Linked DNA regions of Coturnix japonica. The protein of the gene in region 2 purifies or fractionates together with the protein of the main gene of each other region. This does not show direct contact. Links are inferred from orthologs where the notes say so. Each region holds a gene or a part of one and is shown on either strand. Other genes may lie near its edges.

Evidence for each region.
Region 1: the proteins of CDK7 (region 2) and GTF2H5 purify together in Homo sapiens (affinity purification with mass spectrometry; 7 studies listed by BioGRID and IntAct, with this or other methods). This does not show direct contact. The link is inferred for Coturnix japonica from reciprocal best matches to the Homo sapiens genes CDK7 and GTF2H5.

Annotation. Positions count from the first base shown.
Region 1 is NC_029518.1:46,899,757-46,905,995, reverse strand, and holds GTF2H5 (general transcription factor IIH subunit 5), read right to left. Parts: upstream 4,121-6,239; 5' UTR 4,021-4,120; exon of another isoform or gene 3,894-4,020; intron 3,756-3,893; 5' UTR 3,674-3,755; coding exon 3,639-3,673; intron 1,391-3,638; coding exon 1,210-1,390; 3' UTR 373-1,209; downstream 1-372. Other genes in the region: protein SERAC1, read left to right, coding at 5,245-5,335. UniProt on the Homo sapiens protein: Component of the general transcription and DNA repair factor IIH (TFIIH) core complex, which is involved in general and transcription-coupled nucleotide excision repair (NER) of damaged DNA and, when complexed to CAK, in RNA transcription by RNA polymerase II.
Region 2 is NC_029547.1:13,176,172-13,182,727, forward strand, and holds the start of CDK7 (cyclin-dependent kinase 7), read right to left. Parts: upstream 3,817-6,556; 5' UTR 3,720-3,816; coding exon 3,660-3,719; intron 3,480-3,659; coding exon 3,420-3,479; intron 2,608-3,419; coding exon 2,574-2,607; intron 1,885-2,573; coding exon 1,817-1,884; intron 1,068-1,816; coding exon 999-1,067; intron 238-998; coding exon 127-237; intron 1-126. Other genes in the region: MRPS36 (28S ribosomal protein S36, mitochondrial), read right to left, coding at 4,742-4,759, 5,977-6,152. UniProt on the Homo sapiens protein: Serine/threonine kinase involved in cell cycle control and in RNA polymerase II-mediated RNA transcription. Cyclin-dependent kinases (CDKs) are activated by the binding to a cyclin and mediate the progression through the cell cycle.

The DNA.
Region 1 (6,239 bases), on a different chromosome or scaffold from region 2:
CTATATTGCAGCAATGCAGTTTTCCATCAATATTATTTTCAGAGACCTACTTTTGAAGGCTCAGCTTGAGAGCTGACTGAAATTTGACGCTTATGGCAATGATGCCAACTAAGAAAAGTTAAAATAAACCACATTAATAAAACCATGAAATCCCATCACTTACATAGAAAAGGATCTTGTTAATGCACAGAACTCTGTGAGGTCACCTCAAGTACATGAGAACAAACTAGAAAGATGTTCTATCTACTCATTACACATGCAGATTTTTTACACTTTCAGTGTAAAGAAATGAGGACTTATCTTTGCAAGTTTTATCAAAGTGGCAATAGGGGGAAAAGAGCTAAAACAAAAACAAAATCAAATTTCTTCTTATTAAATAGAGCAATCAACTCTTTATTTTCGCCTTCCTATTCTTGCAATTACATATTAGCATCAGTAAAAACAAACAAAAAAAAAACAACCACACAAGCAGTTATATCTAAAGGATTGGTCTCAAGTTGGTGCTGCCCCTTCAATTTGCCACTGTTGATATGCAAATAACCAGTTTACAACTCAGTGTTATGATGCACGATTCACCCGGTGTCAAAACCTTAAATCCTCACCACCACTCCCCAAACTCAGAACAACACAGAAATGTTAATGCTGGTAAAAGTAGGTAATTATTATGAGGTACGTGTAACATGTGTGACAAAAAAATAAAGCCAAACTATTATTTTGGTATCCAAAACTCATAAAGTTAAAGAAGTATTTGATTTCATCTGACCATGCCTCCAATGTATGGGGATGCTCCATCAAGCACAGACTTGCTTTACATTCAATCAGTCACTCTATAAGCAAATTTAATCAATTCCACAGGAATATAACACATCAGAAAGGTTCATAAGGGATTCCAATACAGAAACATCACTCATTTCTGGGTCATACCATTTCACAAGATAACTCTAAAGGAAAACCAGAAATCACGCATCAAAAAGACCCCTCTGCATGTTCTTAAGTGTATCATTTTATGGATTTTAATAAAGACACTATAATATTTCAAAGTGAGAAATAAAATTCAGTTCAAGAGTATTTTGGCTATGAAAATTACTCACTTTCTGAAATAGCCACTTTAATGCAGAACTTACTAACCACAGTCTATTAAAACAGTAACAACCCAAACTACTGAAATTTGCTTTTTCAGAATTGGCAGCAATCTCATTTCTCATCTTTTTACTTCTGAGTAATAGGAAAAGAGTTTTGGTCCATTAACTCGCCCACTCTCTCCTGAAGGAAGTTAACCAGCTCTGCTAATACAAAGACATGAGTTTCATCCAGGTCTTGTATGATGAACTTCTTTCCCAAAGCATTTGACTCATCCAAGTAGAGCAGAAACTGCTTCATTGCTGGGTCACTGCAGAGACAAATACACATCAGATTCCACCTCATTGTAATAAGATACAGCTAAAAATTAAGAGCATCCTTTTAAGACATTCTCAAAGTTCTTAGGAAAATTGTACCAACTTCAAGAGCTGCTCGCAATCAAAAGAATGTTAGAAGAAAGACAAGGTTTACACAAAGAAGCAATGAAAATGATACCAAAAGTGGGTGGTCCTCAGTCTTCTTCCACACACTCTTTTTTATGGGTGCACAGAGGTTTATTTTTGCTTGTTTCTTTCAGATGTACCTTACCAACACACTATGAGTACCAGACAGCATAAGCTGGTGTGCCCAGGCATATGTCAGGCAATACACACATATTTTCACATAATCAACATACAGGAGTGCACTCAGTGCCAGTAGATGTACGTTACAGCAGAAACACCGATCTTATTCAGCATTTGAAGATTATAATCCTTGAGATTTTGTCCTCAGAACAGTTTAGCTATATACTGGAATAATACAGAGGGAAGGAAGAAATCTGTATATTATCAGCATTTCATAGTTTTATTTTAATGTTTTACTTTAATGTTTAACACATTCAGAAGTATTTATTTTTTCCAAACTTCTTGCTGACTTTTTACCTAAGATGCCCTGGAAAAGCTGAGTTGTGAAAAATTGGTATCTGAAAAGTAAACAAGGGGACAGGTTTGTAATCTGCTCTCAGGATGGACTCATCAGCTACCATTATGCAAAGGCAAGAAGGAAACAAGAAAGCAACCAGCAGCTAGAAAAGCCAACATAAAAGTGAGTTACCCAAGGGGCTGTTCAAACTCTGATGGCATAACAGATGCTACAGACTTCTTGTCAGGCAAACTATTTCCTTCCAGGGAGGATAATAAAGTTTCAAGCTAATACTAAATGGGAAATGATCACAATATTGTACAGGAACACACAAATCTTCCAGAGCAAGTAAAATAAATTACAAAAAAACTACAAGGCTGTACTGTCTGCTTGAGATATTAGAATTTCTTGTTTTGCTAGTCAACAACTCTGCTTTGGGTGTCTTGAGAAAATGCAGGAAGGCCATTTCTTGCGTTCAGGTTTATCAGCATAGTAGCACGCAGCCAAATTGGAGCAGAGAAACTTTTTGTGATAGTGGAATTCATGCTCCAAGCTGCTCATACCAAACTATGAGGCATTCAGATGTGAGCTGGCTAATGTCCAGTCAGCTCAGAAGTAAACCACAGTAGGCAGACAGCTGTATGCACCATGAAGGATGTTCTGCACTCATGCAGTTACAGTCTGTTAATATGTTTACAATTTAAACATACAGCAGAAATCCTGTACATAATGTAATGATATATAATGACTCCACAAACCTTGAGTGACACTTTCTTTAACCTGGAGGTAATTCTTATCAGAACCTTAGTCTAGGGACTTCAGACTGTATAGAAACAAATGGACTGCACGGATATGAACAGCTTACTGTCTGAAATTATGAGCATATTCATTTTAGAGTAGCCAGCCTTGAGTGTGCGAACTGGAATTGATAAAAAAAGAAAACAAAAGACGAAGCATGGACAAATTTCCCTTTAGAATCAGAACACATCACCCAGGATGAAAACTAATTAACATTATTTACAATATAACAAACAAGATGAATACATGATGGTTAAGTCTAAGCAGAAAACAACATATCTGAAAATATGAGTCAGGAATTAAGATTACCCACAACTGTCTCTCTCCTTCTTCCCTTAAAAACCATGCCTTTCATCTGTCTGTTTGCTCAGTGTCACAGAATCACAGAATGACCCGGGTTGGAAGGGACCTCAAGGATCATGTAGTTCCAACCCCCCTGCCTGGCAGGGCCACCAAACATACACATTTACTAGATCAGGTTGCCCAGGGCCCCGTCCAACCTGGTCTTGAACACCTCCAAGGACGGGGCATCCACAACCTCCCTGGGCAGCCTGTTCTAGGGCGTAACCACTCTCCTAGTGAAGAACTTCCCCCTAACATCCAACCTAAATCTTTCCTCCTTCAACTTGGATCTATTGCCCCGTGTCCTGCTATTGTCAGCCCTTTCGAAGAGTTTACTCCCCTCCTGGGTGTAGGTTCCCTTCAGTTATTGAAAGGCTGCAATAAAGTCACCCCGCAGCCTTCTCTTCTCCAGGCTGAAGTTTACAGCAAATACATTTTTGGGTCTAGACTCTTAAAAGCACCTAAAGTATTTCCAGTCCTAAAGAAACAGTTGAGTAGATGCTGATGCTGTCACTAACCATTCAATCAGGACGCCCTTCAGAACATTCACCATCCTCGCAGCTCTCACAAACGCTGCAAGGTGCGGGTGGCAGCAAAGACTCCTGTTTGAGGTTACAGATAACAGCAGATGAAACCTGTAAGACAAAGAAACGCTTTAGTTGAACTCAGCGACCCAGGACCCCCCTCGCCCCGCCAGCACCCAGAGCGGCTATGCCCCATCCCCCCACCCACTCCTCCGACAGCAGCCCAGCCTCCCGTTGCCGTGTGCGAACCGTGGCCTTGCGAAAGGCGGCCGGGGCGAAGGCAGACAGGCTCCAACCCGTCCCTAGGTTAAACCGAGGACGGCGAACGAGTAGCTCCGGCCCAGCAAGCCCAACCACTGCCCCCACATACACGTACTACGCAAGTGCAGCCCTCGCTCCTCCTATTGCCCTCCTGACACTGTGCGGCGTGATGACGTTGAGTGCGTGAGCGACGGTGCCGGCTGCGAAGGGAGATAGGAAGCGGAAGGTACGGGTAGCGCTGTGGAGAGAGGGGGATGGCGGCGGGGCAGTAGGAGGGGCCAGGGATGGGGTCTGTCCGTGGTCCGATGATTGTGTTTGTCAAACCTCAGCCTTGAAGCCCCTCCTGGCGTGGGGCTGGCCGCTGGCATTGCCCCAGTTGTGCGGAGGCGACCGCAGGGAGAGCGTGCTTATCAGAAATGTAATAAATGAAGTCAGTGGATAAGTGCAGTGCTGAAAGGAGACAGGGCAGAAAGTTGGTGCATACAGTAATCGGTGCTTTCACATGGCCTGAAATGCCTCATTGCTTAACACTACAACTGTACATTCATTGAACCTCAATCTGTAGATGCTAAAATACATCCCTTATTAACTGTGATGTTACAGGGTATGTCAGCAAGAAAAGACAAACGTTTCCAAATCTGACTTGCCTACAATGTATATGAGTTGTTAGAGCCTGCTAAGTCAAAATACAAGACTTGGGTGTTAAGATAAAATTAATTATGAACAGCTAATTACTAAGTCATATGCTGTACTCAGCACTGTCTTCATGTGAACATGATGCGTTTAAGTGAGGATTACTAAGACATTGGAAAAGGCCTCACACAGAATCACAGAATTGTAGGGGTTGGAAGGGACCTCTAGAGATCATCGAGTCCAACCCCCCTGCCAAAGCAGGCTCCCTACACCATGTCACACAGGAAGGCGTTCAGGTGGGTCTTGAATATCTCCAGAGAAGGAGACTCCACCACCTCCCTGGGCAGCCTGTTCCAGTGCTCCGTCACCCTCACTGTAAAGAATCACAGAATCACTGTAAAGAATCACAGAAAAATGCCTCTGCCTCAAAGCAGAGCAGGTAGTCAGAGATGGATACTTACCAGTATTAGCACAAATATGTAATTGCATGAAGATTTTCTGTAAACTTTTGCTGTAACCAAAATGCAAACTACTAAATTCAGGAGTTTATAGGCTTTTTAATTTTTACTTAGAGTGCTTTATAACGCACAAAATGACATAAATATGCTTTACAACCTTTCCTGTAAAAAGGGAAACATGGCTACAAGTTTTCTGTTGTAATTGCCAAATCAATTTATTTATTTTTTTCTTTTTCTGAATATACAGAATGTCAGTGGCTGCTTACTGCATATTTTGCTGTAGACAAATAGGAACTTCTGGCCCAGCCACCAAACACCACCCATCTTGGAATAATATAAGTAAGTACAGTTCTGTAAGTATCAATCAAAGGTGTTATTAAAAGAAGAAAAGGTCTGTGTGGGTGTAACACTGTGCATGATGAAGTTGACAAGAAGAGACATAAATCTCCACATAACTTGTGATCAAAGCTTTTATTTTCCTGAAGCGGATGTCTGCTTCTGGCTTGCTTTGCATTGCAGTAGTAACACTAGATTATGTAGATGATGGAAGTCCCACCAAAATACAACCTCATTAAATTATTTTAAATTACTTCTGTTTCATCTTTGGTCGTTTTTTAATGATTAGCACAGTGAAAGCATTGCATCCATAAAGAGTTAGTAACAGAGCAGCAATCGAACAAACCTTGTTTCTCTCTCCTTCTGTACTGAATTTTTTTTCCTCTTCTTTAAGTTCTATGATCATCCCTGCTTAGTTTCTGCTTTCTTTAATGCCTTGTGTATAGAACTGTAAGAATTTTTGTTTTAAGGTGTATTTTCCAGCACTAAAAGACAGGACATTTCTTACCATTTCTGCTCTATGGGAATCACTGCATTTTTTTTGTTTGTTTCTTCTTTGCCAGTTATTTCTTTGGCATGTAACTGCTTCTTGTCTGCATGCCACAATTCTTAAAGTCAGAAGCTGATGGCAGTGGGTCTAGGGCAAACCTCCTTCATGCTGAAGAAAACCAATTATTCATGATAGGTGAGATACATTCCATTGGGTTTGCTGCTACTCATAGCAATAGAGTTGCACTGTACTTACAACCTTAAGTCTAGATAATCAGCTGAACTTCACCCAGCACAAATAATTCAAGTCTGACATGAATCCTCACATTTAAAAGGGAAGGTGCTGTAAGTGGCATGTGTTTATTCAACTCTTTGCTCTGTAAGTTATATTTTTCAAGAAATTCCACTCAATCTATTT
Region 2 (6,556 bases):
GCAATTGCCACTACTCAACTGCTAGAGCAACCCTATGCATTCTAAACCAATGAAAGCCAGTTTTCAGACTAATTCAATCAAAAGTGATATTTGTTATAGGAATAAGGGCATTTAGAGCATGCTTACCCTGTGCAGAATCCACTGTTGATGTAAATACTCTAACCCTTGAAGTGTCATCAGCATATACGCTTTGATGTGAGACTGTGTTAATACAATACTAGTATCCTTGATAATAACCTGCAAGTGTTAGATTGATATGGGTAGACTGGTAAGCACAAAAACTTATAACACAAAATTATTCAACTCAAAAGTCAGTTTATACTTTAGGATAAAGCTGGAATTTGTAGCTACATATACATGTATAATGGGTTAATTTCTTCCAGAGCACAGATAATGTGAGCATGTACAGATTTGACACGACAGTCACCCAAAACGTCTTCTCAGCAGTGCTCCAAAATGAAGAATCTGCACTAAAGTATTCAATAAAAAGGTACTGGCAACAGACAAGCTAATGAAACATCCTTAAGATTCAGGCCTGCAAGCACACGCCACTGTCAAATTTAAAAGAAGGGTTCAGGAGTATGTGACTTCTAGTCAGATAATTACTCGGCATACTTGAATAATATCACACTTACTTGAGCATGTTTTACGTTACTGTGCTTAGCAATTGCATTCTGAGATCCTGGCTTATGATCAGTGGTTCTATGCTCTGACTGAAGCCCTAGAAAACTAATATAGTAAACATAATCCGTTTCTTGATAAAGGTGCTGACAGAAAGTACTTTAAAGGCATTTTCAATTGAAAATACTGTCTCACTATTCCAACTCTTTTAAAGGTATGATCTTAAATTACATAATGAAAGAATGAGACAACTTTCTAAAAAAGAAATAAAAAACACACAGTAACAGTAAGGCTATGAAAATATATTTTTCAAAATGCATTTTCAAAATGTATTTGAAGATATTGAAATTTATTGAAATTATCTTAATTTGACTTACCTCAAGGTCCGTTTCCATAAAATCAAATACTAAGCTAATATTAGATTTGTGTCCAAATGCATCTAACAGCTGTAAAACAAAATGTGCTATGATGAATGACACTCTCATAATTCCCGTTTCCTAAAATTCCATTCTACTTTAGTTTGCATGTGCATTTTCAATTTACTGGCAGAGACAAACAGGCACAGGGCTACTCACTGCCTAGACCTCATCATCAAGAGGAACCCTAATCCACCTGCTCACACCTCACACAGGTGGAATCCCTGCCACCCTCCCCAGGCAGCAGCAGGCTCAGGCACTCCCTGCAGCCAGAGAACAGCTACATTTCTGGGCAGGCCCTCTGTCTGGGTTGCCAAAATCTTTCTGGAATAAACCTGCTTTCTGATAGAGAACATGTTTAGGCCTGCAGTCCCAGAGACTTTCCAAGAGGAAAGCTAGTCTCCTGAGCACAGACTGACAACATTTACATTCATCACCACTTGATCCACATCCACAGCACTGTATGGGCAGTGTGGGCTGTGCTCACTCACTGAACCTCCCCATTCTCAGTGGGCAGCAACAATGGTTACTCACCTGGTAGCTCACCCTAGGATACTTTAAGCTTGTTATCAGGTGCAAACAATAAGGACTAGAGTTTAAACTGTGCCGCTAATGTGCCAGCTCCACCCTTGCTGACTCAGGAGCCAACCCACAAGCTGGCAGCTCCCCAGTACAAGCGCAGCCTTTTTTACTTCAGATCCCTTGTTCCAGATCCCTTTCCCAGTGCAGTTTTACCTTCTCTGAAGCCAGTCTCTGCAGCAAAAATTCACTGTACTTACACCAATAACATTCGGGTGGCTTAGTTCCTGTAACAATTTTATTTCTCTCAGCGCTGTTCTGTTGATTCCTATATTGAAAAAAATAATTAAACAGAATATAATTAATAATTTCAAGTTAAACTCCAGCAAAGAAACCTCTTATTCTGTTGTTCATTGATTACTTAATATTACAGTCCTTTTCCTCAGCACTCATGTATTTGTTAAAGCCAAGCAGACTGTCACAAATACATAGACTGCTGCAGGCAAGGTATGAATAACAACTAGAAGATATAGATTATGAAGGAAAATACACATCCCTTTGGCTTACTGGCAAGCAAACACTACTGCATTATGTTGTGCAAGATGTTTTGCCTACGCATGAGCTGAAAAACAGTGTTATTTCCATGGTGGTTTCATTCAACATATAAGATTCCAGCGAAGATTTAGATGCAAAGATCTTGATGGCTTAGTTGATACTCTGCCTATTTTAATTCCTTCTTTAGAAAAAAAAAAGAGACAACGTCCGCTTTCATGTGGACATATTTTTTATATTCAGAAAAAAAAGTATGCAAGCCAATATCATTATTCCATGCTATACTTGTGATTGGGTTCCACCTAAACAGTCATATACGCACAGTTAAACATACAGTATGAGAATGCTGTATTTCGGATGTTATTTTTTCTGTCCCTCTAGGTTGGGAAGGAATCAATCACCCAATCAGCAGAAGCAAAACAAACAAAGACAGCTTATACAGCATGAACTTGTTTTAACACTTACCATCTTTAGCTTCTGATCGATGTCCCAGTTTAATCTGAAAATAAGTGCCTCATATTATATAAGGTCAAGTCACAATCCCCAACAGTTTAGTTGTTTAATTAAAAAAAAAAAGATTAAAATAAGTTCATTAAAATACATTAACAATTCTGAATATCTTACAAGGGCTGCTCTGCAAGTAATGCCTCCTATGTTAGTGGTCTATGATGTCAGAGGCGGATGCTAGCATGGCAGTAAGAGGCTGAACCTTCCCATTACATGGTGTTGTTATCTGACAAAAGGGCAGCGGGGGGTACTCTGACAAAACGACATCTGACATGGATGCACAGAGGAAGCAAAAGTGTGTTGCTGAATTTCTCCATGCAGAAAAATGGCACCTAATAACATTCATAGAAGCTTGCTGAACATTTATGGAGATCAAACAGTAAGTGTGAGCAAAGTGAGGGAGCAGGTGATGAATTTCAGCTCAGGTGACAGCAACAGCAAGTCATCCCCACTCATACAGATTTATGGCAACACAGCACGCAGGCTTTAGCTCATTGCTAGTGAAAATGTCTAATTAACGGTGGTGTCTATGCTGAAAAATAGTTCTTGGTAACTTAGAGTGTGCTCTATCTGCTATAGTTTCCACAGAAGTAAAATGGAGGCACTGTTTTCAGTCCAGCACAATTCCACCTCTCCCAGCGTAGCACAGGACATTAAGGCTGGATACCCATGGACTACATGATCTTCTTTTCCAATGTACCAATCCTGTGAATTCTCACACACTACACACGACAGCAGTTCAACAGAAGCACCGTGCAGGACAAGGCTCCCAGTGACACCACAGCGGGGTGTTCCAACACTCACCTTTTTGATAGCAACGATCTGACCCGTGTTCTTGTCCTTTGCCTTATACACAGTAGCAAACTAAAGGGAGAGAGAGAAAGAGACGCGTGACCACGGCGGCAGGGCAGCCCACAGCCCAGAGCCAGAGTCACTACGGTGGGTGAGCGGGAGGGCGATCGGCCCGGCCAGCCACGCTCCCTCCCGCACCCAGCCGCCCCTCAGAGGGCCCCGGCGGCCACACCGCACCCACCGGCCGCTCACCTGTCCCTCCCCTAAGAAGTCTAGTTTCTCATAGCGCTTAGCACGAGCCCGCGCATCCATGGCTGCCAGCTGGGAAAAGCAGCACAGCCCTAAGGCCGGAGAACGAGGCACAACGGAAGAGCAGCACGGCCCTTTATCGGCGCCCGCCTCCAGACCCGCCTACCTGCACCATGAGCGCGCAGCCTGATGCCGTCAGCTCGGAGGCGGGTACTAGGAGGGCTGCGGCCCGGCACACGCTGTGCGATGCTGCTCGTGCCCTGATGGCTGTGTGTGATTAGCTCCGGAGCGGGCAGCTGCCCCACAGAGCTCATTAAGGAGGTTAAACCATGTCCTGGCTGAGTCTGTGATCATGAGGAACGGGGGCCTGACAAAAAGCAGAGTGGGGATCCTGAACTTCAGGAGAATTAACTTATTTAAAAGCAGCTTATTATAAACAGGACATCGTAGGACTTTTTATATAGTCTGATGATGACAGGACACAGAGAAATGGTTCTAAACTAAAAGAGGCGATATTCAGATCAGATGGTAGGGGAAAACTATCAACTCGTGTTGGGGGTTGGAAGGAGTCAAAGAACTGGAAGAGTTTGTCTGAAGAAGGTGTAAATGCCCCCATCCCTGGATGTATTCAAGGCCAGACTAGCTGGAGCCATGGGCAGCCTAATCTAATGGGTGTCAGCCCTGCCCTCAGCATGGGGCTGGAAATAGATGGTTTTTAAGGTTCCATCCAAATCAAGCCATTCTGGAGTCTCTGAGTGTGTCTATCTTGCCCATGAAATCAGCCATGAAAAGACCTGTTAACAAGGAAAATAAAGCAACTCAATTTGTTCTACTGCCAAATTCATAGAATGGCTAGTTAGAAAAATACTCTAATGATGTAGCCATCATTTGCTATTAGTCATCAACAGAAAATCTCTCATCACCAATTAATAGTGCTGTGTCAACCTTTACACCTTCACATAGGGTTTTTATTAAAGCTATCAGTATACCATTATTTATAATATTAAGGAAAAGCTTTTATGATGAACACAATACTTCTTTCTTCAACAGTGGTGATATCTGTTGGTGGCAAATATCTTCCGTACTTATTCTGGACCTCCACGCTGTAAAGCAAAAAATAGACAGAGTTAACTATTTTCCTCTAAAAGAAAGGGAAATTGATATCCAGTCTTCTTTTGCAGTTATAGATTAATAAACAAGTCCTAGATTTAACTTCATTTTTACGCTTTGATTTTTAATCTGTAATGGAACATGCTACATGTCAGAAAAATCATTGCCTGTCATTAATAGCTTATTGTGCCTGATGGAATAATATAAACAATATAAAAACCTCTGCAACCTATATTTGCAGCTGCTCCCTATCCTCTCAGTTGGAAGAAACATGACACTTAGTGACTCTGGAAAGATGAGACAAACAGCCGTAGTAGTAGCTTTGGATTTTTTTTTTACTGCCCAAATTCCAAGGGGCAAAGTAAAAGCAAAGCCCAAGAAACCCACTATAATCTTTATGAGAAATCAGAAATTCACTATTTTGACAAAGTTATTTAACAACTTGCCTTGTGGTTAAAAACAAACAAACAACAAACCAAAAACAGAGGTAAAGAAGTATGTAACTACAGGAAAGTGATTGTTTTATTTTGAATTTAAATAGTCACCCACTTGCACGCTGAAATATAGATTTCCGCTAGTACCATTATACCCTTTAAGTGTCCTCATTTAAGAAAGCTACTGTCTAGCTCTTCAAATTCTGTGCACTCTCCCTTTTTAAGTAAAAATGTTTTCATTTGAAAACTCTTCCAGAAGAAAAGCAGTTCTGCCTTGACTTTCCCATGTTATGCAGCAATTGCAAATATTTTAGGCAATACTTGCATCAAGCTTAACTAAAATGCTCCCAACTGTTAGAAGTGCAAAAATTAACTTCCTATTACATAACAGTTTCCAAACTAGTTTTTATGAATTTTGTACTTCAGTCACCTGGCAAGAGCATGAACAGCATTCTGTGCTCCCATATTCAAATTATGCACTAAACAATGGTTATAAAACAAGAAGGGAATATGCTTAGTGTAGGCTCTACCTATCACTGCCTTTCTACCTTTGCTTTAAATATGGATCCTACAGTGACAACACAAGCTACTAATTAGTAAGAGCTGTGAACCTCCTTCATCAAGGATTTGTTGTTTTGGTACTGCGTATCAACACTGCAAAAGCTCTTCTTAACAAAAATTACAATCTATTATCTCATGTGCAACTTTTAAGGACCTGCAGAACTACAAAGAAGGTTGGGTAAATAAGAGAACACACAACAGTTACTGAGACTTACTTGAATATATTCAATCTCTTCAGCTGACATAAGTTTCCTTCTGTATTTTTGAGGTAAGATTCTTGCTAATTCAGAAGTGTCTGGTGCACCATGTGCCCTACTAGCAGGTGAAATATTTTGAAAGGCTTCATTTGAAGCATGAGGTGACGGAACACTTGCTTGTAGAGATTCCTGTACTGAAACCCAGATTGAAAAACAATGTAAAGAAATACAACAAGATTGTACAGTTAATTAGATGAGTGGCAAATAAGCCACTGACAATTAGTTGTGTCCTAACATATATTAATATACTCAACTGACTCAACTTGTTTTTACTGTTACTAAATACATCAAAAGCACAATGAAAATATTCTGAAATTAAAAGATAGTATATTCAAGTGGAAGAAATATTAACACGGAAAGAAAAATGAAATCAGTATATGTCCTAACAAAGGCTTTTTCTCCTGTGGGAAGCTTTCCTTGCAGAGAAAGTATGAGGTATCATAATTGTGTTGTGGAGAGGGTAATGCAGAATGACAGTTCAGATGAATAACCAAGGTCCACTGAGGTGATGCTTTTGTCTACTTGCAATTGTAAAGGT